Elephas maximus indicus: one gene and its partners. The protein of the gene in region 1 interacts with the protein of each later gene in a pairwise test. Links are inferred from orthologs where the notes say so. Each region holds a gene or a part of one and is shown in the gene's direction. Other genes may lie near its edges.

Evidence for each region.
Region 2: the proteins of FATE1 (region 1) and BIK interact in binary tests that used the Homo sapiens proteins (3 or more experiments, as listed by UniProt). The two-hybrid records come from large-scale screens. The link is inferred for Elephas maximus indicus from reciprocal best matches to the Homo sapiens genes FATE1 and BIK.
Region 3: the proteins of FATE1 (region 1) and LNPEP interact in binary tests that used the Homo sapiens proteins (3 or more experiments, as listed by UniProt). The two-hybrid records come from large-scale screens. The link is inferred for Elephas maximus indicus from reciprocal best matches to the Homo sapiens genes FATE1 and LNPEP.
Region 4: the proteins of FATE1 (region 1) and SEC22A interact in binary tests that used the Homo sapiens proteins (3 or more experiments, as listed by UniProt). The two-hybrid records come from large-scale screens. The link is inferred for Elephas maximus indicus from reciprocal best matches to the Homo sapiens genes FATE1 and SEC22A.

Annotation. Positions count from the first base shown.
Region 1 is NC_064846.1:4,707,383-4,715,185, reverse strand, and holds the start of FATE1 (fetal and adult testis-expressed transcript protein), read left to right. Parts: upstream 1-4,289; coding exon 4,290-4,392; intron 4,393-5,355; coding exon 5,356-5,512; intron 5,513-7,803. UniProt on the Homo sapiens protein: Involved in the regulation of endoplasmic reticulum (ER)-mitochondria coupling. Negatively regulates the ER-mitochondria distance and Ca(2+) transfer from ER to mitochondria possibly implicating it in the regulation of apoptosis.
Region 2 is NC_064822.1:187,372,005-187,379,634, forward strand, and holds the start of BIK (bcl-2-interacting killer), read left to right. Parts: upstream 1-4,373; 5' UTR 4,374-4,434; intron 4,435-7,630.
Region 3 is NC_064820.1:104,522,267-104,529,677, forward strand, and holds the start of LNPEP (leucyl-cystinyl aminopeptidase), read left to right. Parts: upstream 1-4,116; 5' UTR 4,117-4,280; coding exon 4,281-4,299; intron 4,300-7,411. UniProt on the Homo sapiens protein: Release of an N-terminal amino acid, cleaves before cysteine, leucine as well as other amino acids. Degrades peptide hormones such as oxytocin, vasopressin and angiotensin III, and plays a role in maintaining homeostasis during pregnancy.
Region 4 is NC_064819.1:14,015,589-14,023,495, forward strand, and holds the start of SEC22A (vesicle-trafficking protein SEC22a), read left to right. Parts: upstream 1-4,519; 5' UTR 4,520-4,588; exon of another isoform or gene 4,589-5,016; intron 5,017-7,907. UniProt on the Homo sapiens protein: May be involved in vesicle transport between the ER and the Golgi complex.

The DNA of each region.
Region 1 (7,803 bases):
GCTGTGGTCATTTCCAACTCAACTACTCTTGAATGAGTGCCTACCATGTGTCTGTGCTGTGCTGAGTGCAGGCGGGGAGACAGAGAAGGAAGCAGACAAAGTCTCTGCCCTCATGGAGCTCACAGCCCAGTGCTGGCAAAAGAGGTGAAGAAGATGTTTATGTATGGAAGAGAAACGTCCAGGCGTGGGGGAGAAGCTGAGGGCCTGGGAAAGCACGGAGACTGCTGACGGAGCTGGAGATGCATCCTACACCCAGGGGAGGGACGACCGTGTGCAGGGCATGGACACTTTGTCCTTTGTAAGTGCAGGAAGGCCTTGGAGGCCATGTGGAAGTTCTAGCAGCTCATGTGCATCAGGCACAAACTCTGTACCAGGAACTAAGTCCCTTCCCTTCAATGACCCCTTAGCCCCCTTTTCAAGGTAGGACCACTGAGGCACAAAGAGGCAAAGTCAATTGCCTAGGTCACACAGCTAAGAATTGGGGAGTCAGGGCTCAAACCCCAAGGGGGGCAGTAAGACTCCAGAGCCAGGCTCTCACCACCCTACCTCCCTGGTGTACACTGCTTGCGAGCAGGAAGTGGAGCTGCAACCTTTTTGCTGGCAATCTGGGAGGGATGGGGTTAGAGGATGTTTTCCAAACCCTTTAGGCCCAGTCCCTCCATGGGACCTCCTGTTGGTCAAGCAAGGCTCCTGGGCTGCCAGTCAGAAGACCTTGGTCTTTGCCCAAGCCGTACCACTGAATTGCTAAGTGAACTGGGTCATGCCCTGGCCCTCTTTAAGCCCCTCTTTTTACATCTGTAAAACGGAGGCTTGGCCTCACTGCACTTGTCATGCAACTTCTCAGAACAGCATTTCTCACCTCTGCCTTCTGTTCCTTCCTTCCCCACGTCTTCCTCCAGCTCGCTCACAGCTCGGCTTTAGAGCTGGTCAGTGTCTGGGCTCTGCACTGTTCTTTCCACCTCTTCCTTGTTGGCTAGGTGCCCTTGGCTCAAGTCTCCATGAAACACAGTTGGCAACAACCCGATCTGAGTTTTAGCCTTCTGCTCTGTGCAAAGAGGGGCCACTGAGGCTCAGAGAGGGGGGATCGGAGAGAAAAGAGCTGGGAGGCAGCCCTCCTCTTCCCCCTCCACCTTCTGTGCTGCTCTTTGCTCCACCTCCAGGCCAGGCCTGAGGTACCCAGGAGTCTTCATAGCTCGGTCCCACCCCGGATGCTCAGGCAGCCCCCTCCGTGAAGGGTCCTGGAGGCTCAGGGAGCCACTGAGCATCTCATCCAGGTGCCTCATGCCCACACTTCACAAGAGTGCTTCCACTCAATAGCAGGAAGGTTCTTTTACCAATCCGATGACAGGGGACAGTGGTTGGACCAGGTCACCCTTTAGGGCCCTCTCAGATTGACAGAGGCCAGTAAGGCAGTGTGTGGCGGGGTTAAGGGCATGACTTCCCCAAAGACAGGCCCCTGCCACTTCCCTCCAGACCCATGAGCTTCCTTCCTGTTGGCCTGTTTTGGCTCTGCTCCCTAGAGCATGAGCTCTGTGAGGACAGGGATCTGGTTTCTATCCCTGGCGCCCAGCACCCAGTAAGTTGATTCAACACAGAAACCTGGAGATCAAGGGGCTCCCTGTGACTTCCTTCTGGCAGCCCTCTCCCCATGGGGTCGATCCTGCGGGCCATCCTTGGTGGCCTTGTCACTGCCCATTGCCTCTCTCTGCTCCCAGGGCCAGCTATAGCCCTTGTGGTTTGACCTTGTGTCTGCCCCTCTGTCTGTCCCTCTGTCTCTTTAAGGCCTCTGCTAGTCCTGGGCCCCTTTCCTCTCCAGCTGAGGGGAGGGCCCTAGGGCTCCAGGGGTGAGGGGTGACCGCAGTACCAGCTGCATCCAGGAGAAGGAGGGAGAATTGTTCACAGGTTCCTAGTTTCATTAATAATAGTAGAGGAAGCTCCCAGGTGCCTGGAAGTTCTGGGTTTGCTCGGAGCTGCAGCTGCCTGAGAAGCTCTGAACAGGGCTGGAGGCAGGCCCTGGGGTCCTCACATCCAAAGGCTTTGTACTTTCCTTCAGGACTTTCAGCTTGAATGATATCTTGCATGGGACCCCAGTATAAGTCAGTGACCAAACCAGAACTTTTATGATGCAGAGGGTCTGGGGTCTGCCTTGAAGCCCAGGCAGCCCCAAATGTACCTTCCAGAAGCCATGAAACACAGTTGACAACTGGATCTGAGTTTTCGCCCACTACTCTGTGTGATGAGGGGCCACTGAGCGTCAGAGAGGGGAAGTGACTTGCTTAAGATCCCCCCGTACCAGGACTAGGAGGCACTCTCAGCAGTTCTGGCCCTGGGCCTGGGTCCCTTCTGCCTTCCACTGCTGCTGACAGGGGCAGTGGAGAGTGAGTGGCAGCCAGACTGGGGGCAGGTACATAGGGAGGTGTGCAGGCAGAGAGAGACTCTGTGGGGGCTGAACGCCCTCTAGATATCAGCAAAAGCTTGGATGCAATTAACTGGGTTTGTTTGGTCCCCAGTGGGGCCTCTGTGCTCACGACTGCCTTTAGGGGAGAAGATGATATGTTTTCTTTGGAGATGCTAAGCTTGAGGGGAAGGAGCGCTTTCATCCTTATCCCTTTCGCTTAATAAAACAGCTCTTATTTTAATAAAGATCCAAGCCCTCCAGGAGATAGTTCGCAGGAAACGAAATACAGAAGGTCAATAAACATATGAAAAATGGCTCAGGTTTATTCATAATTAAAGCAGTATAAATTAGAGCAACAATAACATAGATATCATTTTTCACCCATCATAATGATGCCTTTTAGAAAGTCTCATAATGTCTTCTGTTGATGAGGCCGTAAAGAAGCAAACACTTTCTTCCCTGTGGTGGGCCCCCACTGTGTGCAGCCTCTTTGGATGGGGCTTTGACAATATTGGTCAAAATCATACACACAGAGACCCTGTTGTTGTTAGGGTTGGGTCCTTGTGCTCCATAGGTTTTCACTGGCTGATTTCCGGAAGTAGATCGCCAGGCCTTTCTTCCACATATACCCTCTTGTTGGGTGTTGTCAATTCCAATTCATAGCCACCCCACGTGACAGTGTAGAACTGCCCCATAGGGTTTCTTAGGCTGAAATGTTTCTGACGGCAGATCATCAGGCCTTTCTTCCTTGGAGCCGCTGGTGGGTTCAAACCACTGACCCCTCGGTTAGCAGCTGAGCACTTAACCATTGCACCACCAGGGCTCCTTACATATAGCCTAGAACTCTAATTCCATTCGAGGCACCCGCCCTGCAAACACATTGGCACATATGTGCAAGGAGGCCTGTCCAGGAGTGCTCACTGCTACATTGTTTAGAAAAGACACCGGATCCAAAAGCTCAAAGTGTATGAACAATACACAGACGTGAAGCTGGGCTATCTTGAAAGAACTGAGATTGATCTGCTCTGACGTGGGGAGATCCCCAAGGCCCTCTGTTCGCTTAAAAAGTAAGTGCCAGAAAACCATGTAGCGTATTACCTCATTTGTATGAAAAAAACTGCAAACATATACACACACATAAGCCAGATGTGCTCTGGGCCCCCTTCTCCTCTCCAGGGTCAACTGTCTGGTCTCTGGGAGGGGAAGAGCTTCAGGCCTCCTGGCCTCCCATTGGGATCTTGGGTCTGAAGCCCACCACTCACACATGGCCACTGGCCAACCTCCTGCATGCAGGAGCCGTGTTGCTAGAGGCAGGTCCCTCCTGGCCTGCCTTTCCCTCCCTTGGTTCTCATGGTTCCTGCCCAGGTGGACCCAGGTCAGAGAAAGGCTGCCTCCCCTGCATAGGCACCCTGGGTACGGAGGCAGGGTGTGCTCTGCTGAGAGTTCCTTCTTGGATGGGGGTGGGAGACTGGATGAAGCCACCACTGGCCTGGGAGCTAGCCCTGCTTTGGCTGCTGCCTGACTTTGGGGCCTTGCCCCTATTCCTGCCTCTCCCTAACCATGATGGAGGGTGGACTCCCCCCCCCCCGCCACGTCCCCAGTGGGCCATGGCAGGAGACCCAGGAGTCAGAGCAGTTCCCACAGGCAGAGAAGTCTTATCTCTTCTCCTGAGTTGCTTACAGAGTAGCAGGGGAGAAGGCTTCGAACACAGCCAAGAAGATACAGCAGGAACAGAAGGTGCTGGGCCCAAGGCCTGAGCCCAGAAAGGGAGTCTGGCTCCACCCCCAGGCCTGGGTATATCTTTCTGGGGCTCCCACCCTTCAAAGAGGTGGATTTCCAAGTGCCTCTCTGGGCCCTGCACCTTGCACGTCCTTGGCCATAGCTGATTGGGATGGCAGGAGGCCCCCTTAGCCTCAAGGAAGAGATGGAAGCGTCCTTGGCAGAAGAGCGGTGTCCTGGAGACAAAGGGCCAAGCCAGGAGCAGCTGATGACAGGTGAGGATGCCCTAAAACGTCCCTTCCCTGAGGTGGTTGGCACCTGGGCATGTGTGTGTTGGAGGAGGTGTACACGTGCCTGGGTGGACACTCATGTGTGTGCATATATGTGTTTGTACTTGTGTGAGGGAATGTATGTGTGTGTGCCTTGGTGTGCATATATTTATGTGCTGAGGGGACAGGGGTTCATGATATGAGCATTTTGCAGCTTACGCATTATGTCACTGAACCCAGAGCAACCCATGAGGGAGGAGGGTGGGGGCCACATGTGTGTGCCCTTTGTCTCTCCCTTGTCCAAGCCACCACTGCAGTGATTGCAAAACATTCAGAAGACTCGAGTCACAAGACCGCACAGACCAGTTCTCTCTCCCACTCCTCTAGTGCCTTGCCTGACCTTGGTCTACACGACACCAGGGTCCCTCCTCAGTGCCTCAGGCTGTGGTGTATACACACAACAGCGGCCTCTCCACTCTGCATTAATGCTTGTCCTTATCACACCCTGAGCTTGTGCCTCCCTCACAGCAGTACAGCAATACCAAATCCCTGTATACTTGCTATTTCTTCTATCTGGGATGTTCTTTCCCTAGATTCCTAAAAGTAGTCCTTTCCTTCCATCATGTTGCCATTTTCATCATTTTTGGTGCCTCTATCTCTTTATTTTGAACTTACATTAATTATTTTCTGTTTTGCACAACCACTCCTCTTTAAACACTCACAGACAGTCAATTCCTTGATTGCTGGGGTCTTATCTCTTAGTCATTGCTCTCTCTCCGGTACTGGGCCTTCAGTAAATACTTGATGAGCTTTTGAACTGAGAGCTGGGGTCACTCGCTGGACAGGGGTGAATGGCGCAGTTTGATCCTCAAGAGGTTTGGGGGCCCTGTTCTCTTCGTGGTGTGTCCTTTGCCTAGGAAGCCCTGGTACAAACTCCATGGCTATTCCTGGGGCCTCTGTTCTTCCTAGAAATGATGGATCGTGGGTTCCGGTCCCTGGGTGCTGGCTCCCAGCGGCGACAGAAGTTGGAGTCAAAGGCTGCTGGCTCGACTGGAGTCTCACCAGCTTGGAATACGAATGCTCCCCGACCCAAGAAAGCGGTACTGTATGGGACCTTTGGCACTCGGTGACAGAGTTGGGATTGGGTAGACTGGCTGTAGGGGCTACAGTCGACCATGCTAGGTGGACCAAGGCCAGATGTTGAGGTGGGGGTAGGAGGAAGCTTCTGTGTGCCAGGCAGGAAACTGAGGGTTGGGAGGACCTGCAGGAGGCTCAGGGTCGTCCTTTGGTAAGCTGAAGTTCAACCCTTGGGAGTCTAGAATGCCTGAAACATATATTGCTTGGGGAGTACATATAACTTTACTCTGTATAACTATAGAATGTGTGAAATGGCACTTTATTTTATTTAAAAAACCAAAAAAAAAAAAAAAAAAAAAAAGCCCCAAATCTGAACTATCAATCTTTCAGGGCCAGGACTAGGGTGAGGCAAGTGAGGCTTCTATGCTTCCTGGCCATTAGGAAATCCAATCACGTGAGTCACAAAAATCTGTTGCCAGTCTTTTAAGCTACATTCAATGTGGGTGAGGGAACATTCTAGAAAAAATGGCAGTTACACTGTTGCAAAGGATACTGGGAAAAGGCAATCATTTTTAGAGGAAAGGAGACCGGACCGTTCTAGGGAATTAGTTACAGTAAATGATGAAATGTTCCCACCCCCAATGGAAAAAAAGAAAAAGGTCTCCCAAGTCAGAGACAGCTTGTGAATGAAAATAAGCCAGAAATATTGAACTGGCTTCCCGTGTCCAAAGCCAAATCAAGTTGCTCCTGCAGGACAGGCTCCAGGATGCGACCCGTGCCCCTGAGACTGAGGGAGATGTCACCACTGGGTTAATGAAATTTAGCTATTAGGACTAGAGGAGTGCAGTTTTAAAAATTACAGACATCATATTGAATTTAGAAATGAAGTATGCTACTTGATTTATTAATTTTACCTATCTATCTGAAAATAAAAGAATTAACGAAACTGTTCGTGCCTCTGGGAAAACCATAGCATTTGAAGACAAATAATAATAATACTATCCTGTGAGTTAAAAAAAAAAAATAGCATGCCTTCAAAAGTACATAGAAATAAAAACAATTGATGGAAGGAAGCTGGGACTTAGCACAGTTCATAGATTTTCTTAATGCTGATCCTGTTAACATAAAAGTTTTATGCTTTACAGTGTATGCAATGCCAAGTAGAGAGTATCTAAAATTAAAAATCAAAAAGGCAACAACTCTTCATGAACGGTGGGGCCTTCCTTATCATGGGCAATGGGAAGAAAGGGCATCATCAATCTGGAGATGTGGTTACGGCAATTCTCATTATCTTGATATGTTAATAACAAACCAGGCTACCTCAAAAGAAAAACAAACAAACAAACAAACAAACAAACAACAAAACCGGCCACTAGTCACTCATCTTTCTTTTGCCTTCAAATCTCTCAATTTTTTTTTTTTCTTTTCTGATCCCAATCAGTTGGAAAATCAAAGGATGGTCTGGAGGTTTGGTGTCTGAGAGACTGCTGATTAAGCTCCCCTTAGAGTGCTGGGTCTCCTTGACACCCACTGTCCTTTCACCGCTATTTTTTAGCTATCTTAAGATAACAAAAATAACAAAGCATAACTGTGAACTTCTGTTCACAGAAAATTCTCCCTGATGTCTTTGTGCTCCTTAGGAAAAAGGGGCGTTTTGCATTATGACAACAAACGGAGCACGGTGGCATAGTCCCCGTGAACATCTTTTATGCCGAAATTGTTCCACTTTGTAGTTTAATATTGTTAACGTAAATTACCTCAGATGGCAGATGAGCTTGGGTTGCCTGTTCATTTTTTAAGAAGTTAATTGTGCTAAAATAATATACAATAAAATAGTTGGCATTTTTCCGTGTGCAATTCAGTGACATTAATTACGTTCGCCATGTTGCACAACCACTCCATTTCCAAAAGCTTTTCGTCACCCCCGACGGAAACTCGGGTGGTGCAAACGGTTAAGCACTTGGCTGCTAATCAGAAAGTTGGCAGTTCAAACGCACCCAGAGGCTTCTCAGAAGAAAGGCCTGGTAATCTGTTTACAGCAAGTCACAGCCTTGAAAATCCTCTGGGGCAGTTCTACTTAGACACACGTGGGCTCGCTGTGAGGTGGAATTGACTCGACAGCACCTAACAACATTTTGCTCAGGTTTGGGCTTGAGGGTAAGTGCTTGGCTGCTAGCCAGGTGGGGAGAGAAGGGTGAACAGTTAATGCCTCTGTTTCCCACCCTGTACCTTTATGGATTTGTACCATTTAGATTTCTTTCTTGTCACTTTAATAGAGTCTTAAGGGGCAGCAGTGTTCAATATGTACTGGCTAAGAGCACAATCTCTGAAGCAAAATGT
Region 2 (7,630 bases), on another chromosome or scaffold:
CACTAACTGTGGACATCAGCTGCTGGCCAGATGTGCAGGGCACAAAGTGAAGGAGCTGCCCTGGCCAGCTGCAGAGGGGCAGCTGGATGAGCAGCTATTGGGATGCCCCTTTCAGGAGCCCTGGGCAGTGTCAGAGACTAAGGGCATTGTTTCCTCTCCAGTCCGCCTCCATATGGCTACCGGATTCCTCTTACTGAAGACTGCTGGGATCCAGTCCCTCTCTCCTGCTCAGAGGCCTTCCATGGCTCCCCAGTGCCCCTAGGACAATCTAGTCAAATCCACCTTTCCATCTGATCTCTTACTCCTCTCTTCCTCTTACCAGCAGAAATGCTCCAAACCAAAAACCAAACCCAGTCGCTGTCAAGTTGATTCCGACTCATAACAACCGTGTAGGTCAGAGTAGAACTGCCCCACAGGGTTTCCAAGGAACAGGTAGTGGATTCGAACTGCTGACTTTGGTTAGCAGCTGAGCTCTTAACCAGTGCACCACTAAAAAAAAAAAAAAAGGGCTCCAGAAATGCTCGCAGCTTCCCAAATTCACCCAACGCTTTCTTTGCTCCTGCTGTTTCCCCAACCTGAAATGCCCTTCTTCCCTATACCATTTGGTGAAAACCCAGCCCCTTCTCCAAGGTCCCCTCAAGTTCCTCTTCCTCCAGGAAGCCTTTCCTGATATGTTTGCACCGTCTCCGGAGCCAGATTTTAGTTTTCTGTCTCCTGAGGTCTTGGTCACTTTCAGTCTCGATCCTGCTCTGTATTATGTCTTGGCTTTGTCTGACTTGAAACTAAGCTTTTGCCATTGTCTCTGGCTCAGCTCAGCCCTGAGACAAGACACTCCCCACCCCACCCCCCCAAAAAAGATGTTTTCTGATTACTAAGTAAATACACGTTTATATAGAAAATCCGGAAAATACAGAAAAACACAAGGCGGAAAATTAACCCCCCTGTAATCGTTGTACCCAGAGAGTAACAGTCCTCCTGTTCTGTGGAGCTGTATTTCCTTCCCGAGTTTTTATATGTGGACTTAAAAAATACACGTTTCCACCAGACACACTGATTTGTGAAATGCGTTATTTCATTTAACAGACCACATGTCTCTAAGGTATAGTTTCTTTTGTGGACATGATAACTCTTCACCAGTTCTACAGTAACATTTACTGAGCATTGCTCTGCATTTACTGAGCACCTACTGTGTGCCAGGCCCCATGCTCTGCTTTAATCCTTAGAACAGCCCTGGGAGTGGAAAATCATTATCCCCATTTTACAGATGAGGAAACTGAGGCTCAGAGAGGCCCAGGCACTTGCCCAAGGTCACAGACGTTCTAGGTGGCAGAGTTGGAATTACAGGTGCCAAGTGACTGCAGAGTTCTGGCCCTCACCCATCAGGCTACAGATTCTCTCCCCAGAAAAGGCTTATATGACAACCGCAATTTCACTTTACTTTTGGAATTCACAGACTTCTGGAAGCCCAGTTACAGGCCCCCAAGTCCCTGTCCCCCAGGAACAGAACACCCTGGGTTCGAACCGCAGCACTTCACCTCTTGGTTGTGTGGCCTTGGACAGGTTAGGCCCCTCTCTGAGCCTCAGTTTCCTTATCTGTGCAATGGAGAGAATCATTCGTACCCTGCAAGGGCCATGAAGGGCACAAGAAATCACCCAGGTAACATGCCCAAAACACTGGGCTCTCAATAGCAGCTCACCCCACAAAGGTGTCCCCAGGAGGTGTCCACCAGGCTGACGCAGGTGAAATGCTATCATGAGGCTCAGGCCCTGCTTAGGTGAGAACAGCAAAGCCCTTTCATGAGTCCCGCCTTCCTGATGTTACAAAGCCTCCACAAAGCCTCCCCAAAGCCGGGGAGCAGGGGGATTTCCAGATAAGGTGTCAACCCAAGGCTGGGATGGCAAAAACAGAGCCATTTAAAACCTGCACTGGCTTCTGCCCCCTAGGTGGGGCCCTGGAGTGTGAGACCAGCACTTGGCCAACAAGTGCTTGTCCAGCCCTCTTTGTCCATTCTACCCCACCCCCTCCTTTGCTCCCCTCCACCCCCTACCGCGCTTCACTCTCCTTCATGGAGGCCTTGCTTGTGCCAGGCCTTGCTCCCCTGGCTGCAGGCGCCCCATCTTCCTGTCCGCCACTCGCATATGCCATCTCACGAGTCCCATCACCAACCCCCGTGTCTGGCACCATAGTAGAGGTCAATCAATATTTGTGCAATGAAATGGACAGATGAAGTCATAGCAAGGACAAAACCCAACCTGTAGTGGGCGTCAGAGGGTCCACTGGGCAGGGGTCGCTGAACAACAGACAGATGTTGTTGGGGCCACAGCAGGGGGGCTCGGCTGGGGCTGGCAGGATCCAGAGGCCCCCCAAGGCAGCTCCTCTAGACCAACGCTCTCAGCATGTTTGCTGAGCACCAACTGTGTGCGTGGTACCAAGCCTCTGATCTCTCTGGAAGTATTCTCACATACATTGAGGCTTCTTGGCCCAGGAGACCCCGAATCGCTGCTTTCCCTCTCTCAGTCTCAATTTTTTCATCTGCAAAATGGGTGTAGAGAGAGGTTACTATTTTGTAGGGCTCCTTGTTCCTGCCTCTCAGGTGCCCTGTGGTTATGGTCCAGTCAAGGGGTTGAGGCCGTCCAGGCTTTGCGGGCCTGGAGTTTTATGTAATTTGGAAGACCCTCCTTACAAAAAACAAAGCAAAAAAAGTTTGTCATTGAGTGGATTCAGACTCATGCTCCATAGGGTTCCGAAGGAGCAGCTGGTGGATTTCAGCTGCTGACCTTTTGGTTAGGAGCCCAGCTCTTAACCACTGCACCACCAGGGCTCCTCTTTACAAAAATAAACAAAAACAAACCCATTGCCATCAAGTCAATTCCAACTCACAGTGACCCTGTAGGACAGACCAGAACTGTCCCCTGGGTTTCCCAAGGAGCGGAGCTGGTAGATTCGGACTGCCAACCTTTTGGTTAGCAGCTGAGTTCTTAAGCACTACCACATCAAAAAGGTGCAGAAAATTACAGACACACTATAGGTTTGGCTTGGAAAGGGGTCTGAAGAACGAGATCCAGGGAGGGGCACTGACGTTTAAACTCCCCTCCAGTTTACTAAACATTTTCCTCTGATCCTCCCAACAGCCCTGCAGGGGCAGCGCCAGGCCCCTTTCACAGATGAAGACCCCGAGAGAGGAGTTATCAGTGTCATCACTTCAAAGGCGCTAAGAATGAGGCCCCTACAGGTAGCAAATGCGAAGCCAGCTGGAGGCGAGACCCTGTGGATGCCTGGCCTGTGCGGTAAACAAGCTTGTTGTTGTGTTCCCGGGACAATGGTAACTTTGTTACCCCGTCACCCCTCCACCCATCCAAAGCCTCCGCTGCAGGGCTCCTGGCCTGGGGGCTCGGCACCCTCCCCACCCCAGGGCTAGTCCGGCCTGGACCTTTCTTGACTTCTCCTCCTTGGCGAGGTTGTGGGCACTGTCTCATCCCGGCCCCCACGTGGGCCGCCCGGTGCCTAATCGCCCCCTATTTTCCCGCTGTCGCGAGTCTCAGGGCGGGAGGGGGGCTGCGGTTGAAGCCTGCACAGGGGCGGGAGGGAGGCGGGCAGGGTGGAGAAAAGCCCCCAGGCTTTGGTTCGGGGTGCTTGATGCTGGCTCTAGCCCAAGCCTCAGCTTCCACCTGTGTGAAACGGCTTTAAAAAGTCCAGACTCCTGAAGGTGTCTGCACAGAAAGTACGACGTTTTGAGCGCTGAAATCACTTACCATGAAGCCAGTCATTTCATTCTCCCTGTGCCTCAGTTTCTTGTTCGGGAAAATAAACATGAAAAAGCCCCGATCCCTTAGGACTTTTTTGAGGACGAAGCGAGGCGATCCGTGGCACGAGCCTTGATTGATCTACACAGACCCAGATGAAGTTACCGGGGCCTCCACAAACATTCATTTCTCTGGGCCTGCTGGGTGCACGGCCTCATGCTGGGCGCAGGGAAAAGAGCAGCGCAAGGGACAAAACAAGCTTGCAGATTAGCGGAATCAGAGAAGGTAAACAAGTAAACAGATCACACTTGTAGCAGCTCTGTTGCCACTCCTGCCTCAGTCTTCTCATCTGAGCAATGGGGCAGGGGAGGCCGCTCCCTGGGGCGGGGGGAAGGGCGGGGACGGGACGGGTCTGGGCCTGGGGGCCTCGGGTCCCGGCGGGCGGGGGTCGAAGCGGGGTGGGTGAACTAGAGGCCCCAGAGCGCCGGGCCGGCCGGGGCCGGGTGGAGGGCTGCGGGGGGCGGTCGGGTCCGGGCAGGCCCTGGGGTCGGGGCGGGGCCCGAGGGGCGGGGAGAGGGCGGGTCCCGGCGGGCCTGTACGGTCCCTCGCCGGCAGCAGAGCCGCAGACAATACGCTACCCGGCTCGCGAGCCCCGGACGCAGCCGCCGCCTCCGGTGCCACCGCCGCGAGGTAAGTCTGAGCCCCGGGCGCCCCGGCCGTGCCCGGTGCCCCGCTGGCATCCGCCCCTGCGCCCGGCCAGAGTCCGGCGGGTGGCCGATGGGGGCCGTGGCCCAGGCTTTTCCGACCTGAGAAGTGTCGGGTGTGTCTGCGGGGCGACGTCTCGGGACCCCGGATTCGCAGCGCCCCCTCTCTGGCTTGGGACTCTGGGTACTGTCATCCGACTGCGCCACCCTGCAGGCCTCAGTTTCCGCATCTGAGCAGTGGGGTGACGCCCCTGCGCCCGGTCGCTAACGCACCACCTGGCTGCGCGGCCTCCCTAGGCCGGGCTCTGATTTCGGGGTGCCTTGGCGGGGGGGAGGAGGGGCCAAGGGCACGGAGTCGGATCCCAGCCCAGGGCCGTGCCGGCAGAGACCCGGTGTCTACTAAAAAAGGGAAGATGGCGTCGGACACCTGTCCCCGCCGGGACCCGAGGCACCCCGAGCCGCCGCAGACCTGCAGAGGCGACGAGCCAGGCTTGATTATGGCACACGGGAAAGCCCGGAACAGGGGCTGCCACCGGAGCCGGGGCGGCCACCGCCCGCACCTGCCCACGCCCCCAGCACAGGTGCTTCCGCGGGCGGAGCTGGGGCGCGAACCCGGCGTGGGGGCCTGGCCTTGTTTTGTCAACACAGAGCCACGGGCTCTCGCGCGCTTAGCATTTGAATGGCCGAAGCGGCACGTTCCGTCCAGTGGCCCGGGAGGGGGTCCCCGCTGCCTGCTATGCGCGGCCACAACAAGCCCTGGCCGGCTGGGGACTTGTTGCACTTTCGCAGTCTGGCTTTGGACTCCTGCTTGCGAATCGGCTGTGTAAACCATTAATTGCTACTTTGATATTCGCTGGAATGATCCACCCCAGGAGGGAGGTGTTGTTTTTGTTGTTGCTGGCGTTGGAACATTTTCTGAGCACCTGCTGTGGCCGGGGCCCGTGCATGTGGCTTTCTCTGGTAATCCTCGCTCCAGTTCCCCTAGGAGGGAACACTGTTAGCCTCATCGTTCTCGCATTAGTAAGGGGCAGTTGAGCCCGGCGCTAGGTCTGGTAGGGCAGGAAGCTCCTAACGGCGGTGCTGGCCGCCTGCAAGGACAGGAAGCCTCATTTTACAGATGGAGAAACCCAGAGGGGAATCCCAGAACGCCTTACGATTGCTCTAGCTCAGAGCCCAGAACTCTTTCCTGGAAGTCAGGCCAAGCCTGCCTGCACTCTCCACTTTCCAGCTGTGTGGCCTTGGACAGGCTGCTGCACCTCCCTGAGCCTCAGTTTTCTCATTCTGTAAACCGGGGATGATGGTAATACCATATTCTAAAGGAACACCCGCCCACGTGTTGGTGGCTGTCAGTGATTCCTCTAGGGTCACCATTCACCCTTTCTCCATTTACGTTGAGTTTCTTGAGCACTTTGGCCTGCTCTTGGAATAAATTCTCAGGAGTGGCACAGTTTAATCTCTTGGTGAAGAGTGAGGTACAGTGGATCTGAGACACTGGTGGGCCCCCTCTCCCTAGGCCCTCCAGGGAAAGGCAGCCACGGGAGCCTTCTGCTGGGCCTGGATTTCACTGGCGCTGGGGCAGGTGTGAGCTGCCTGGCTGTTACTGCTCCCTGCTCCTCCCACGTCTCATCAATTGCCCACTCTTCTCTCCTTCTCACTGAGGATGTGAGAATTGAAAACTATCTTCTGAACTTTTAGGTCATGGACTTGTATAGTTGTGGTTTCTTCACACCTTGCCTGTGTTAGGTTTTACAATTTTTCTTTATTTTTGCTATTTTTAAAAAATGTTTAAAGTATCTGGGGAGACTGGCGAGTTTTAGGTAGCTAGCAGGAATAGTAACAGGGCGTGTTGGTGGTCTAGCGGTAGAGTTCTTGCCTTCCATGCAGGAGACCCAGGTTCGATTCCTGGCTAGTAAGCCTTGTGTACAGCCACCACTCTTCTGTCGTGAAGGCATGTGTGTTGCTAGAATGCTAAACAGGGTTCAGTGGAGCTTCTAGACTAATAAGACAGACTAGGAAGAAAGGCCTGGTGATCTCTTCCGAAAATTAGCCAGTGAAAACCCTCGGGCTCACAAAGGACTGACCTGCAATTGACCTTGGGGATGGCGTGGGACCAGGCAGTGCTTCGTTCTGTTGTGCACGGGGTCACGGTGAATTGCAGGCAGCCAACAACAACAACCAGGTACAATAACAGATAAATGACATCTGGATTCACCGAGCTGTTAGCAGCTCTTTTTTTCACTTCTGGTCGTCTCTCTTGAAACAAGCGAAGGGTGGTAACTGGGAGAGTTTGATCCATCAGTGAGCTTTGAAGCTGAAGCAGCCAGCAGCATTTTTCCCTGTCCCTGGAAAGTATCCTGTTTTTAGCATTAAGTTTGTGGACAATTAATGGCTTCTTGCTTCCCCTGCCTCGGACTTAGTGGATCTCAGAACAATTCCGAGCAGCGATGAGGAAGCTCTTGGGTTTTGTTGGCGGCAGCCTCCAGGAAGCTGACAGTGGGGTCTGCAGTGGCCATGTGCACCCGCTTCCTCGGCCTCCCTTTGTCCTCCAGGGCTGGGCCCTGGGAGCAGCACAGACTGTCAGCAAACCAGTGCAGGGACCCAGGTTCCTGGTTGGCTCAGAGGTAGGCGGGAGAGAGGGCAGGCGTGGTGGCTAGGGTGCAGGCCGGGTGGCAGGCGGGCAGCTGATTTTCCTAGTGTCAATACAGGGATGTGACAATACAAAACACTCTCCGGGCCTCACCAGGCATCGCACACAGAACCTGTTTTTCCTGAGGTGGGAGAAAACATGGTGCCTACCTGGTCACCCGGATAGACAGCAAAACTCAGGGGCGAAGGAGGAAGCCCACCTGGTTATTTCAAGGAGGGCCACTGTCACTTGAATTTTTTAAATTGAGGGGTTTTGACACTTTGTTGCCCTCAGCAAATTGCATTTTTTAATTTTGCTTGTTTTTTTAACTTTATTTAAATGGAGACGTATAGAATGTTATCTTTTACGTCTAGCCTTTTTCCTTATGTTTGTAAGAATCGTACTGTGATGGTTAATGTTATATGTCAACTTAGCTAGGCCATGGTTCCCAGTATTGTGTAATTGTTCTCCATTTTATGAACTGATGTAATTGTCCTCCATTTTGTGGTATCGTGTAATTATTCTCCATTTTATGTGTAGTAAATCCTAAACCTCC
Region 3 (7,411 bases), on another chromosome or scaffold:
AGAAGTGTTCACACTGAGCATCACTGCAGAGAGCGTGAAAAGTTGGGCTCTTGATGAGATTGTGGAGCTGCGACTGGAGATTGCCTTATCTCTGGATTTGCTATTGTGTGACATAATACACATATATTGTTTAAACTAGTTTGATTTAGGGTTTTGGTTTTGTAATACAAAGCATCTGAACTAAAACCAAACCAAATCAATCCAGCGGCCGTCGAGTCAATTCCAATTCATAGTGACCCTATAGTACAGAGTAGAACTGCCCCATAGAGTTTCCACAGAGCAGCCGGTGGATTCAAACTGCTGACCTTTCAGTTAGCAGCCATAGCATTTAACCACCACACCACCAGGGTTTCCTTCCTGATAATAACCTATTCACTTTACTTGCCTGAGCTTTTTGCTTATTCCTAGGCTCTGTAAGAATGTTGGATACTTATTTTGTTTTCCTTAGCGCTCTAAATAGTTCTTAATTTGGTATAACTTTAAATATTATTAATTTACGCAAAGCGTGTGCACTCAGAACAGGTTGCTGAGGCAATGAGATTATTGACTCCTTTGGTGTTTGCAGTGGCTAAGTAAGGTCTGGGGTATCTGGAAACATCACAGTGGTCACCCTGGGCCTGGTTGAAGCATTCTCCATTTACTCATGAGTGCTGAACAAATATTATCATTTTCAAAAGTATGCATGGAATTAATGTATTTTATTGCTTATTTCAGAATAGTTAGAAGATGTAATAATGCTAAACCAAAGTTGATATGGAATGGAATAGTAGCCTGAAGTTAGCTGTATTTCTCTTTACCCCATATCTCTTTCATGAATTATTGTCATTGGCCCTAATTTCGCTGTGGGAATAAGGAACAACAGCAAACTCCAGAGCACTGGCTTAGAATACAGATGACCTGAATTCCATACCTGCTGCTGGGCCGTGAGTAAATCTCCTAACTTCTCTAGACTTCAGTTCCCTCATCTCTTAAATATGAGGTTTGGATTAGCTGATCTGTGACAAACCAAGTGCCTTATTTTGATGGAAAGGTTCCTACATTCATTGATTAGCAAGTTTGCTCGTTCTTCATAAATGAATGCTGTTTGTTATCCAGGGTGCTCATAAGTTTCCTTTCATACTATTTATTATATATTACAATTAGCCTTCCAAAATTTTGGTTTTCAAATTTTAAACAGTAGACTGATTCTGAAAATAGTAGATGGGTATAGTAGATAATTCACACTATCTCCTCTGGTAATTAGTAGTAACGTCATAATAATTTAAAGTGTTAGATGCTTCAACTAAAGAGGAAATTCTGTGTGGGAGGATAGGAGGAGATTAAGATAGAAACATAATGTGTTTTAGCAGCAAATTTGTGAAATCATGTTCCCTCAAAAAGGCTTTATGAAGTCAAATGTAAAATGGTATCAAAAAACAAACAAATGAAAGGAATGAAATTCATTTTTGTTCTTTTGAGGGTAGCTAGGATTCTGAATGACTTCGGTTTTTATTCTTTTTATCTCTAATACAAAACCGCAAGTCTTTAGATAGCCCTTAATATGTGGGTATGTGCTCAGGCACACAGGTGTAGGAATGGCAGAGGAATGAGGACAAGGTTGACAAAGAAAGGATAAAGAAATTATTTGTCTCTTTGTCAAAGAAATCTCAAAAAGACATGATTTACTTACTTGCTAGTGCAAAAATATTTATCACAAGTCTCTGCAGAGTTGAGGCATGTAAGACAAAACAAGACAACGTGCTTCACACTTAAAAGCATGACAGACTGTAGCTTACAGGTGAGGTGAGTCAACAAGCTGTGGAGTTTTAAATATCTCTGATACTAAGCGATTTGGCTGCAAAAATAACCCCAAAGGAAGATGACCTAAAATGTAAAGAGCCTCTTATCTAAGCAATAGAATCTGTTGGGTCATTTTAACAAAACCCAGATCTGCATATACTATATCATATAGGAACACAGATGCCCCAGCCCTGGTGGTTCACTTTCTGTTTTTCGCTCTGAAGTGCCCTGCAGGGAGCCAGCCTAAAGGGCTCTTACTATCTTTAATGCAGTGGGGAGAGAGCAGTTTTGAGGTATCATACCACGCAGACACTTTCTCTGTACTAATCACAAACACATCATTCAACACTGAGACTTTCTCGGCATTGGAAGTGAACTTGAACTCTAAATACCACTGTACCCATTCACTTATTCATTCAACACTTATTTATTGCATGCTTATCTAGGTACTGGGGTACAGCCCTAAAAAAGGTAATGACTCTGCTCTCATAGAACTTGCATTCCTGAGGGGGAGATAAATAATAATTTAACAAATAAAAAACATTGTTTGACAGCCATGGGTGCTATGAAGAAAATAAAGCAGGGCAAATCTATATAGAGTGGACTGTGTTTGTGGTTATTTTAGATTGCATGGTCAGGGAAGGGCTCTGTGTAGAGGTGACATTTGAGCTTGAGCTGAGACGTAAATAGCAAGACGGAACTAGCAGGCCAAGTAGCAGGCAGAAGGCACAGTTCACGCACGAGGCACATGCAAGAGGAGTGGTTAACGATGCTGGAAGGAACTTGGCGATTTTCAGAAAAGGCATGAGGCACAAAGGCCTGTAATAAGAGCACGGGGAGCAAGAGTAGGAGATGCAGTTCCAGAGTTATGCAAAGAGTTCAGATTTTATTCCATGCGTAAGCGGAGGTTTTGGAGAGGGGGTAGTACATTTAAAAATACAATATTGCAAAAACGCTGCGCACTACAAAAACAACCCGCTATGTACCACAATTTTATTTCTTTGAAATCTAATTTCTAACTCCTGTGCGGGTCAAACGACGCCCAGGTCGTGCCTGTTTGCCCAGGCCGTGCGCACCCTGCTGTCTTGTTCGCATCCAACGCCCTCCTGTTGACAGCCTCGGAGGAGCGTGTGACAGTAGGCAGGCGCAGACCGGCGCAGCGGAGACAAGTCGCTGCAAGGGCCGGGGATATGGGAGGAGGGAGGGGAAGAAGGCGGCGGCCTCCGCCTCGAGGGTAGCAGCGAAGCACAGACGGAGCAAGGGACGAGGAAGCCGCCCAGCTGAGCCTGCCCCGGGGCAACGCGGCCCCTAACGGTTCTGTCTCAGAGGCTTGCCGGGGCTTCCTTGATTTGAAACTGGAAACAATGGTGGCTCAGGGCTGGAAGCCATGGCGCGAGTGCCGGGGGCCTCGGGCGACTACAGGAGTGTCGGCTCCCCGGGCCTAGCGCCCCGCGGCTGGCCCCAGCGTCCGCACTCCCCGGGAGCCGCAGGTGTTGATTTAAGGTCCCCTGGCCGACCCATATCCTGCGGCACGCGCGGCCCCAGGCCGGTCGATCCGCCCCGTGTTTTGTGATCCGACAGCATCGGGAGGCCACGCCCCGAGCCTCCAGCGGAGTACGGCAACCCGGGCGCACCCGGGCCGATGGGGCTTCCCCCCACTTCAGTCCCCTGAGGACCGGCCCTTTGGGGTCGCTCTGCCGCAGGCGGGCAGCCCTTCCGAGACTCGTGGCGCCTGCTCTTTCGGGCCTTGGAGAACTGAGTTCTCCGGGGCCAATCTCCCCAAGGAAACAGAAGCTTAGCCGTCTAGAGAGCGATTCCCGCCCGCTGACTCCCGCTGTCTCTTCTTATCTCGGCTTCAAGGCACCCCCTCAGCGTGACCGCTCCTCATGACGCCTTCCGAATTAGCCACTCCCTCACTCTCCAGCCCACCACCCTGATTTAATTTCACTCTCCAGCCCACCACCCTGATTTAATGTTCTGCGGGGGGGTTTACTCCAGTCTAACTAGTCACCTGGGCTTGTTTATTGTCTCTCTCTGGAACGTACGCTCCACGGGGCAGGGACCATGTTTTTCCGGCGCAATGCTGGATTCCCGGCACATTGGACCGGGCCAGACGCAGTAGGACCTGACATTTGTTGAGCGACTCAACACACTTCTTGTTAGTGGAGAGAGCAGAGTCGCTGGTCCTTCTGGCAGGGGCGGGTCTAGTCTCGGCCCTGCCCCGGCCCCGCCCCCGCCCCAGCTCTAACCTTCTCCTCCCCCGCCTTTCCCCGAAGTCGGCCCCAGCGTGAGCCGCGCTTTTGCCTCAAGCCTCACTGTCTTTTTCTGCAGCCGCCGCGAAAACCCGGAGTGGAGGTTTCGTGGAGCGGCGCTGCCCCTCGCGGCACCTCCCCGGCAGCCCTCGGCGGCCGCGCTGGGCATGCTCAGTCGGCAGGGCCGCCTCAGCTCGCAGAGTAGGAAGCTTGGGCGCTCCAGGTGCAAGGAGCCGCGGTGGGGGGAAAATGGAGCCCTTTACCAATGGTGAGTGAGCGGCCCGAGGCGCCAGGGCGGGGGCTCGCTCTGGCCCAGAGGGTCGTGGGTAACCGGGATACGCGGGGTCGGGCTGCAGTCGCCCCCACCACCAATTTCGCGCGAGGGTTGGGGGCGGCGGAGGGGGACTGTGGGAGGTGCCTGGAGACTCGGCGGTCGGGCAGTGGTCGCACATGGCCGGGGGCTATCTTTGAAGGTCAGCTCCTCCGCCGGCCGGGAGTGGGGGGGGCGCTCGGGTGCGGCCGGGTGGGCTGGCGGACGAACGGCAAAGTTTGGGGTGCTGTGCGCAGAGGAGGGGACAGCGGGAAAGTTGGCAGCCGGTTTTGCCCTCGGCGAGGGCGGTGTCGATCCTGGCTCTTGGGCAGCAAGGGTTAAGCCGCGGCCCCTGCCAAAGCCAACTTCCCTAGTGCGCCGGGAGCTGTCTCCCTGTCCTTCAGCGAGTGGCCGGCGTGACTTCTCCTAATAGGGCGGGGTGGGGATGAGAGGCTTAGTAGATTAATTTAGTGAAAGGAAGGGAAACTTGCGGAAAGGCTTGCTCACCCGTGTCCCATGCCGAGGAGGTGCCAGTCCGCACTGCCATCCTCCTGTCGCCGAGGCTCTCCGCAGGGCGTTCAAGCTTCTTTTCACCGGCTCCCGATGATATCAGTTTCAGTCGAGGACTAATTAAATATCAAGTGTCCGTCACGGTGATACCACGATATTGTTTGAGGCGAGAGTTTACGTAGGTGCCTGCGGGATGCCCTGCAAACAGCTACAGCCCTTTACTGGTGGCGAGAATAAAAACGAGGGCTTTTGTTTGGACTGGAAGTGCTGGAGTCACAAGATAGGGGGGTGAGATATGTAACCATTTCGCGGAGTTGAGTAAATGAATTTCCTTTTAGGATAGAAAGTAGAAAAACTGCCAGCAAGGGAGAATTCACTTGAAAATTTGGAAATTCACCTTATTATTGACAGGTGTTTTCCTGCAGTTGGTCGGTTACTTCAGATAGTTGGATTATAGCGTTAATAGAAGCCAAAGGAAACACTGGTGGCGTAGTGGTTAAGTGATACGGCTGCTAACCAAAAGGTTGGCAGTTCGACTCCACCCGGCGCTCTTTGGAAACTGTGGGGCAGTTCTACTCTGTCCTGTAGGGTCGCTATGAGTCGAAATCGACCCGACGGCATTGGGGTAGAAGCCGAAGTTTTGCTTCCGTTTGGGTGGGCCAGTTCCTACCTGAGAGACAAATATTTTCAGCTATATCCCAAACTCCAGCTTGCATTGAATTTTGTGCTTCCTTCTTGAGGTCAATTGAGTATGCAAACTATTCATTATATTCTCCCTGTCCCTAATTCAGAATGCTTTATTCTGCTTCCATTTTTCTGTCTGTACTGTTTAATTAGACTTAATGAGGATAACTTTAATTTTGAATTCTCTTGCTCATTCAGATTCTGTTTTTAATTACTCAAGTTCTAAGGATAGTCTGGTACAGTTACTCAGAGAATTAAGGACGATTTCAGCGGAAAGGAACCTTAGGGACTTTAGTGTAAAATATGCTTAATGCAAGTAGTTAAGTCTTTGAAATGAATAGTCCAGAGCTTTTTCTTCTATAGGTTTATTCTTTCTTTGAGGTAGAATGCTTGGAGCCTCTGTATCTGTAGGATTTTCAGTGTGAGATTTCATGTAAGTAAAAGGCTGAGTCAAGATTAGGGCTATTTGATTTGGTGAACCTGCCCCTGTAGCATTGAAATACATTCTCAAGTCTTAAATTTCTCATCCCATAGAATATGCTTCTTTAGATGTTAACATTTTCAAAATTTTTACATTTGGGACAGAAACGCAGGTGGCATAGTGGTTAAGTGCTGTGGCTGCTAACCAAAAGATCAGCAGTTCGAATCTACCAGGCGTTCCTTGGAAACTCTTTGGGGCAGTTCTGCTCTGTCCTAGGGTGGTGGAAAAATTCCAGAGAGAACAAAAAAGAAGCAATGCTTCAACTTCCATATAGGAAATTGGATTTCTGATCCTTTCTTACATGTCTTTCAGATTTTCAGTCCATGCTGGAGACACTTTGGCAGTGTATCATCTTAGTTAATGTACTAATCACTACTTGGTGTCTTATCTAGAGTCCTTTAACAAGAAGAATAGAAACTACAACATCTAAAGTCAGTAAGAAATTAGATGTTAGTGATCTGAGGTACTTTTTAGGTTTAAGGTGGACTGAGTATTTCATAACCTTTGAAGTCATAGCTATAGAATTTTCTAAGGTCTTCAGACATGATATGGTGTAGTGGAAAGTATGTTTATCTTGTACATAATCCTTTTGAATACAGAGGATATGTACATGTAATTCTTTTATAGGTCTGGGTGTTCTGGTGCAGAGTATTTCATTATTCATACAATTTATAATTACAGGATTTTTCAGGCTTGGTATTGGCTTAGGTTATACATTCATTATCTTATAATAAAACCTTCACCACATACTTAGACTTTCTCATATATTTCTTTAAGAGATATGTTGGAGCTTAATGAAGAAAGTTTCCGTAATTCAGGAGCACGTATCTTTCAGTTAAAATCTAGTCAGTGGCTTTACCCTCTGGCCTGCACATTCGTAAAGGAGGCAGATTTAGTTTTTTTCTTGTCATTCCTGCCTTCAACATTCACCTGTTCCAGTAGGACTTTCTGCACTTTTCCTGTGTTCTGTCAAAACTTGCTCCTGGTGTGGCCCATTTTTCACAGGCCCTTCTCTGTCTGCTGATAGTGAGTTTATTTGATGAACACCTGTCCAAGGTAACTACTGCTGCAACCCATTTAAAATGCACATCTCCAGAAAGGGCTAAAAAGAAGGACATTATGCCAGGAATTTGGCTCGGGGGATATTTTTGGCCTTGCCCTTGGGAGGGATTGCTGACTGCTGTTCTGAAGATGTGACATCCTGTCTTGTTTTGGATCTTTGGTGCCTTTTTTTTTAATGGGGAGAGAAGTATGCTGACCAGTGCTCATGAGAGGTTTGGCAGTGATGTGTATCCTCGTAAGCAGGTGGAGATGAAACTATTAAGTAGTCATTTTCATATTATAAAAGATTTGATGGCAACGCCCTGGGTCTTTCGATAAAGGTACTGGATTAGG
Region 4 (7,907 bases), on another chromosome or scaffold:
TTTCTAAAGTGTGGCCTTTTTGGGATCTCTCTACCAAATGCCCCAGGTGTTCCATCAAGTTTTTCCACTCTAGTTGATCAGAGCTTGAATATTTCCAAACTCTCTTCAAGCTCTAGTTGTTGTTCAGCTTACAGCTTTCCAGTAGCTGTTCTTTCTCCAGGAGTTGTTCTTTAACTAGCTTCCTGATTCAAGGGGACCCTTATACATGTTTCTGGAGCACTTTCTCTCTGAATCTTCTCCTCACTGGTACTCCTCCCTGCAAATGTCAGTTGCCTCAGACTTTCTGAATTCCAGTTCTGTCTCTTCAGTTACCAAGAACACAATACTCTGCTTGGCTTCCTCTAACCTGTGCTTAGGTCCACAAATACCTCCAGAGAAGAAATCTGCTGCAATATTTGGGCTAATCTTGCTTGTTTTACCTCTTTCCAAGATCACAATCTTACTGTGTCTATTGTCTGTTGCCTGAAAACACTTATTTCATAGAGTTGGTCCAGTTTTATATTGTTTTTGGTAGGAGGGTTAGTCTGGTACCAGTTACCCATTCATGACTGGATCACTCTTAACATTTTTAAAATGCAAACTTCCTACTGAATAACAAAATACATATTGCAAAGGTATATAAATCATAAGTGTACAGCTTGATGAATTTTCACTAATTGAACACACTGCTGAAACTAGCACTCAGATCAAGAAGGAGAACATTGTTAGAAGTCCAGAAGCCTCTAAATGCCCCTTTCTAAACATTAATACCACTTAAGAGTAGCCAATATCCTAACTTCCATCATCATATCTTTTTTCTGTTTTTGAACACACACACATGTAATAATGTAGCATGTATTTTTTGTGTATGTATCTGGCTTCTTTTGCTCAGCATTATGATCGTGATATTTAACCATATTTTGTGTGTAGCTGTAGATCGTTCATTATCTTTTCTGTATAGTATTCTACTATGTAAATATTTTAAATAAATTTTCTAAATATTCTAAATAAATTTTCTAAATAAATATTCTAAATAAGTGTTCATTATCTTTTCTGTATAGTATTCTACTATGTGAATATTCTAAAATTTATTTATCCCATTTATTGTTGATGGGCAATTGAGTTATTTCTAGTTTAGGGCTATTATGAATAATGCCATCCCCAGCTTTTAGTGAACATATGAATACATTTCTTTCGAGTATATATCTAGGAGTAGAATTGCTGGGTTAATGGACAGGCATATGTTCAGCTTTAGTAGATACTGACAAGCAAGTTTCAAGGTGTCTGCACATACTCTTAAAATTTTAAGATGCATATTTAAAATTAAACTTCTCCAGCACAGTGTGTAGATTTAATCTATCTATTCTTCTCCAAACAAAATGAGAACCTTACCATGCTTTTACTTCAATCACTTTCCCACCATCTCCCATGTAAAGACCACCTGGCAGTTTAGATTCAGCTTATTACTACTTTTTTTTTGTTCAAATAGATCAACATTAACTTAGACTTACCTGGATTGCCTCCCTGCCTTTTAGTCCTAGTCCTTTTCCTCCTAGTCCTAGTGCTTCTTCCCAAGGCAGTGGGGGTGGTGGGGGGGGGTGGGAGGCGGAGGCAGACACCTCTGTTGCCCCCTGCTTGGGCACAAGTGGTGGAGAGGGAGGGGCCAAGGCAACTGATTCCTCCTGCTGTGATATCTCAATAAATCATCCTGATATTAGCTCCATGGCTCTCCCCTACTCCTATTCACCACCTCTGATCTGGGAGCACCGACAAACTAGGCACCGCCTGTGCAGTGTTGTTTGCTTGTTTTTAGGACTTTTTTATGGAGGAGACTAGACCATGTGGTTAGTCTGGCTTCTTCAATTACTTTTTCTTCTAGGCCTTTCTCCTAGGCTTTCTACACTGTCTCCTTAGGTACTCATCCATGCCTTTAAATATTGTCTACACCCCAACCATGAAATTTATATAGTTAGTTCAGACCTTTATTCTGACCTCCAGACTACTTATCCAAATCTGCTTGACATCTCCGCTTGTAAGAATCTCATGTTTAACATATCCAAAAACATTTGCTCCTCCTTCTATGTTCCCTGAATGAGTGAATGAATTGTTCATCTTAATCCATCCAGTTATTTAAGCAGAAAGTCAGAGTCATCCTTAATAGTCCTCTTTTCTTCACCGTTCCTGGCAAACCAATCCATTATAAAGTCCTTGAATTCCACCTCCAACTTATACATGTCTTGAAATTATCCACCTCTCTCCATCTCCGTCATTACTCTAGTTCAAGCCACCATCATCTCTGGCCTTGACTAATGCAACTGCCTCCAAAATGGCCTTCCAGCAACCCCTCTTGCCCTTTTCCAATCTATTCCCACAAACAATTTATGTGAGCTTTTAAATATGTAAATTAGATCATACTTAACCCTCTCTATTAGCTGCACTTTGACCTTAGGATATATTCCAAAATACAGTCTGAAATCTATAATGTGGCCCATAAGCCCTTGCATGGTCTGGCCCCTGCCTCATCTCAGCCCAAACTTCTCCTTGCTCCTTACGCTCCGGCAACACTGGCTTCCTTTCTGTTTTTAGAATATGTCACTTCTTTAATGCCGTAATAGCCTCACACATAATGTTCCCTCTGCCTGGAACATTCTTAAAAGCTCGTTCATATGCCTGGAGTTTAAAAGGCACTTCAGAGAGCTCTTCCCTGACAGTCCAATATTAAGCCATCATCACATCCACTAAATTTTCTTCATAGTACTGATGCAGTGTGATTGATACCTTTTGTGTGGCCTTTCTAGCCATGGTCTTGTAACTCCCACCCAGGTGATCGGGCAGGACTGTGTGGTAGGGTAATTGTGGTCCACCAAGCAGATTGGTCAGTTTTCCTGTTCTGCTGGGTTTGAAATGAGCCACGCCTGAGAATTGTCCACCACCACCACCAAGACAAGAGAAACCGGCAGCAGAGATCTGGCAGCACAGACTTGGCAGCAGAAGTCAGCGAGGTGGGCTTCCCAGCCCACAGAGAGAATAAGCTGAGTGCCTTTGGGCAGAGGCTGAGGGCCAGGGGAGAGGTGTGCCTGCGAGCACAGCTGGGAAGAGGCTATCCTGATGGAAGAACTGTATCCTTGAGTGTTCCCAAACCTGAATAGTAACCTGTTAATTCCCTAGTAAACCCCATAGTTGTGAGTATGGTCTGTCAGTTCTGTGTGACCATTGCAATGAATGATCGAACCCAGCAGAGAAATAGAGAGTGCCGTGGAAGGAATGGTTGGTATCAGAGTTGGTAAAGATGCCAGAGAGAGAAGGCATGTCTGACCTCCAACTCATTGGAATCAGCTGTGGGCTGTTGGTTCATCTTGATTCTCCTTTCTCCTTGTGTCATGGATTAAATTGTGCCCCCCCAAAATATGTGTCAATTTGGTTAGGGCATGATTCCCAGTATTGTATGGTTGTCCTCCATTTTGTGATTGTAATTTTATGCTAAAGAGGATTAGAGTGGGATTGTAACACACTTACTAAGGTCACATCCTTGATTCAACGTAAAGGGAGTTTCTTTGGAGTGTAGCCTGCAGCACCTTTTATCTTACAAGAGATAAAAGGAAAGGGAAGCAAGCAGAGAACGGGGACCTTATACCACCAAGAAAGCAGTGTTGTGAGTGGGGTGTGTCTTTGGGACCCTCACACAGAGCAGCTCCTAGTCCAGGGGAAGACTGATGACAAGGAGCTTCCACCAGAGCTGACAGAGAGAAAGCCTTCCTCTGGAGATGACACCCTAAATTTGGACTTCTAGCCTACTAAAAAAAGCTGTGCTAAAATAAATTTCTCTTTGTTAAAGCCATCCACCCGTGGTATTTCTGTTATAGCAGAACTAGATGACTAAGACACCTTGTGAAGTCAAAGGAGGTCAGACACCACCTCCATACCGTTTTTACAGCTGCTCACAATTTAAAGTCATGTACCAGTTTATATTTTAATGTTTGTTGTTCCTATTACACCTTAAGTTCCGTTGTGTTATGTTCACTCCTGTAACCCAATGTGTAACACGGTGCATAGCACATGGTCAACGCTCAGTAAATATTTGCTTAATAACGCATGGCTGATGCGAAGGCTAGAAGCCTCTGGCACTTCTCTGGGTTAGGTTCCTTGCGGGTGATGGTAGATGGAGACAGGCATTTTCCTCGCTCACCCACAGGGCGCTTTTCCCTTTCCCCCTTTTTTTACGGGGCAGGGTAAGTGTTTGCTGCAGGGCTGTGTGTGAGAGACAGACTGCCTGTAGACCAGGGGCGGCAGGCAGGGGGAATTAGCCGTATTTCTGTGGGACAACGTAGTTTTGTCACAGAACTAAGCGCTCTTCTGGCGCAGGTGCGAGGGACGCTGCCAATCTCCCCTGGAGGGGGCGGGACTAACGCGAGCCCCGGGTGAGGGCGGGTCAGTGTGTCCTTCTCACAGAACCTGATTGGTCTGTGGGAGCCGGGGAAGCGGGGGCGGGGCTTGATTCCGTCGGGCGCCAGCCACGTTGGACGCGGTGCGGCCCCGAGGAAAGGCCGCTCCCTGGCCCACAATGCACTGCGGGAGGCGTCACTCGGAGCGGCGGGTGCTGGCTCGGCAGGTACGGCCCGGCCCCTCCCAGTCTTTCCTGGGCTCCTCGAGGCCGTTCGGACCCGGGGCTGGCCTCTTCCCGTGCGCTCCCCGTCTCCCGCCCAGCCTCGGCCCTAGCCCAGGCTCTGGGGACTTCGAACCTACTCCGGGACAGAAACCGAGCCTGAGCCGTGGGGGCGGGAGCCGGCTGTCGTTGGAGCCGCGGAGCTCTGGAGGGGCGGGCATGCGGGGACCCTGTCTCCTCCTCCGGCTTTAGGGGTCCGTGATCCGCGAGGGCGGCGCTTGCCCCTCGGCTGACCTGCCTCAGGGGGGGTGCTCGAGGGGCGAGGAACAGTCGCCTGGGCTGCCCGCCCGAATGACAAGAGTACGGTGATCCACCTGGCTGCTGAGTTGGACCGAGAGAGCTCGAGGTGGCATTTCCTATTTCTGTTAGGCAGGGTGAGATCTGAATCAGTTACTTTGCGTTTTGTGGGATTGAATGAGCATTGAGCCCAGAAATTAGCCCGCTTTGGCTCGGGGAAACCTCTGGAGGTATTGAGCCAGGAGGCCTAGTTAGTGGCACTTTAGGAACTAAGTGGCGGAAGGGAGACCTGAGCAATTGGTTCGACAGGTGGAGGTGGATTCCGGAAGAGGAGGCCGAGCCCGAGCCGGCTTGAGTCTCTGACAGTGAAAACAGCTTTGGATTTTTCTCCTGCACCTCAGTTTCCTGCTCATTCACCTGGAACCGTAGGTGTGGAGAGACCGAGAACCAGACCCTCCTGTATCTGTTCAGCCAAACAAAACCCAGCTCAGGGCTAAAGTTCCAGCCACCAGCCGACAGGTGGAACTAGCCACTTAAAAAAAAAAAAAAATCTCTGGATCACATTCCGAGTTACTTCTCGTCATTTCTTTACGGTTGATATTGCAGGGAATTAGGTAGTACCTTAAACACTAGCTACAATTCCTGGCATGTGAAGGTCGTTGTTCAGTATTTGAATCAGACACTTGTGACCATGCCCTAAGTTAATGGGCCATCTGGTATTTCCTACATTGAGAAACATCAAATCAATGTAGTTCTTTTTGGGGGATGTGTCACTGATTAAAACAAACAACTAAGTATATTTTACTTTGTTGTGTGAAAGAAGCCCAGGTCCTATCAAAGGGATGACTGACCTTCCTTTCTATGTATTTAAGTGAGAATCTTGGATTTGTCGAGGGGCATTGTCTCAGGGTGATTAGAATTAGGCCTGAGTTTAAATCCCTACTGTGTTACTTACTAGTTTGGGGATTGAACAAGTTACTAAACTTCTCTGGGCTTAATTTCCTCAAAGTAAAACGGAGCTAATAATACTGACCTCCTAGGTTATTGGAAGGCTTAAATGAAGCAATGTGTGTAAAGTATTTGGTCCATAGAAGGTAATCAATAAAAAGAATAAAAAACCTCATTGTCGAGAAGATTCCGACTCATAGCGACCCTAGAGCAAATATTTAACATAGCACTTAGAGTCTGCAAGGCATTGCTTTCAGGTGCTTTACGTTTAATCTTTAACATAACCCTATGAGGTAGATACTATTAATAGCCACAGTTTACAGGCGAGGAAATTGAGGTCTAGAAAGGCAAATTAGCTTGACCGTGGTTACCTAGCTAGTACATGGTGGAACCAAGACTTGAACTCAGGCGGTTGGCTCCTGAGTCCATCCTCTTAACTACTACACTGTACTACTACCTCTTAAAAAAAATGTAAGCTGTCATTCTGTTAGTTCAAAATGAGTAGCTAGATAGTTTCTGTACCAGTGGATTCTTGACCCTTGTTGGTGTTGGGGGACTGATATAGCAACGTGATGTAGGAATACAAGGAACTTAGGTTTAAGTACCAGTTCTGCCATATATTAGCAGTGTGACAGTGAGAAAGTGAACCTCCATTTCCTCATCTGTAAAATGGAGCTTCTGCCTACCTCACTGTTTAGAATTCTGAGGTGCTACACCTATGTTGGGGATTGACACATTTGATCATCATCTAGCTGAAATGGACAGGTGAGGATTAATTTAGTCTCTGAGGTAGAATACCTTTGAAAAAAATCATGAAATTTTAATCAGAATTTTGGATTTTCACAGGTTGCCCCTACTGCTAGTGAAGGAGAAGCATCTAGTGGCATTGAGTTTGATGGCCTGGTGGAGAAGAGTTATCATTTAATTTCAGACCATGGGCATTATTTTAATTCAGTGTTCTTCAAAGTATGGCCCTTAGACAATAAACATTGTAATCACGGAGGGAATTTGTTAAAATTGAAGATTCCCAAGCCCCACTCCACAGTCAATGAATCAGATTTTGGGGGGGGTGGGCCCAGCAATCTATATTTCTAACCAAATGTCAGCATTTCTTATATGAACTAACATTTGAGAACTACTGTGTATTTTATCAAGTTTCACTCTACCTGCCTGATTGGTTTCAGACCTAGACCTGTGTAGTTTCTTAATCTGTTTTAGTTTCTTAATCTGTTTTAGTAAAGCCTGACCAGAATTCAATAAAAGAGGCCATTATGATTTATTTTCTGGTAAATCGATTGAGAACAATATTAAAACCAATATTCTTCTGACCTTATGCTTTATTTTAATAAAAAGTATTTTTTCTGATTATAAAAGTAACATGCCCATTGTGGAATATTGTGGAAAATTCAGAAATTATAAAATTATATTCGTCACGCCATAATGCTGTTTCTTGAAGCTAAGCGTTGTTCTCATTTTGGCATCTTTCCTTCCATTTGCTCTTTCTTCATTTGCCCCTCCCTTCTTCAAAACAAGATTTGGAATTTTTATCCTGCCTTTTTCTACCTAACATATAAGCATTTTACCATGGTATTAAACTTTTTTTCACAAACATATTTTTTAGTTGCTGCATTGTATGTCATCATATGCGTGTACTATAATTTGCTTAATCATTTCCCTATGTTGGGTATTTAGCTTGTTTTCAGCTACTTCTGTGGAAGAATGTGTTTCTGTTTAAAAATTTGCCTGAATCTCTGATTTTGCTTCTCAGGATAGGGTCATATATTTGAATTTATTGGGGTCAAAGGGGGTAAATATTTTTAAACTCTTGTTGAGTATTGCCAAATTGTTTTGAGAACGGTGTTTTATGCCACTTCTTACTTGCACCTGTTACTTATGAGAATGCCAGAGAGAAGCAGATATTTTTTTAAAGCTAATTTGTTAAGTAAAGCATAGTGTGTTATTGTTTTAATTAGTATTTCTTTGATTACTAGCGAGTTGAACATTTTTGCATATATGCTTAGCAGCTCTGAACCCCTAACAGCATAGTGGTTAAGAGCTCAGCTGCAAACCGAAACGTCGG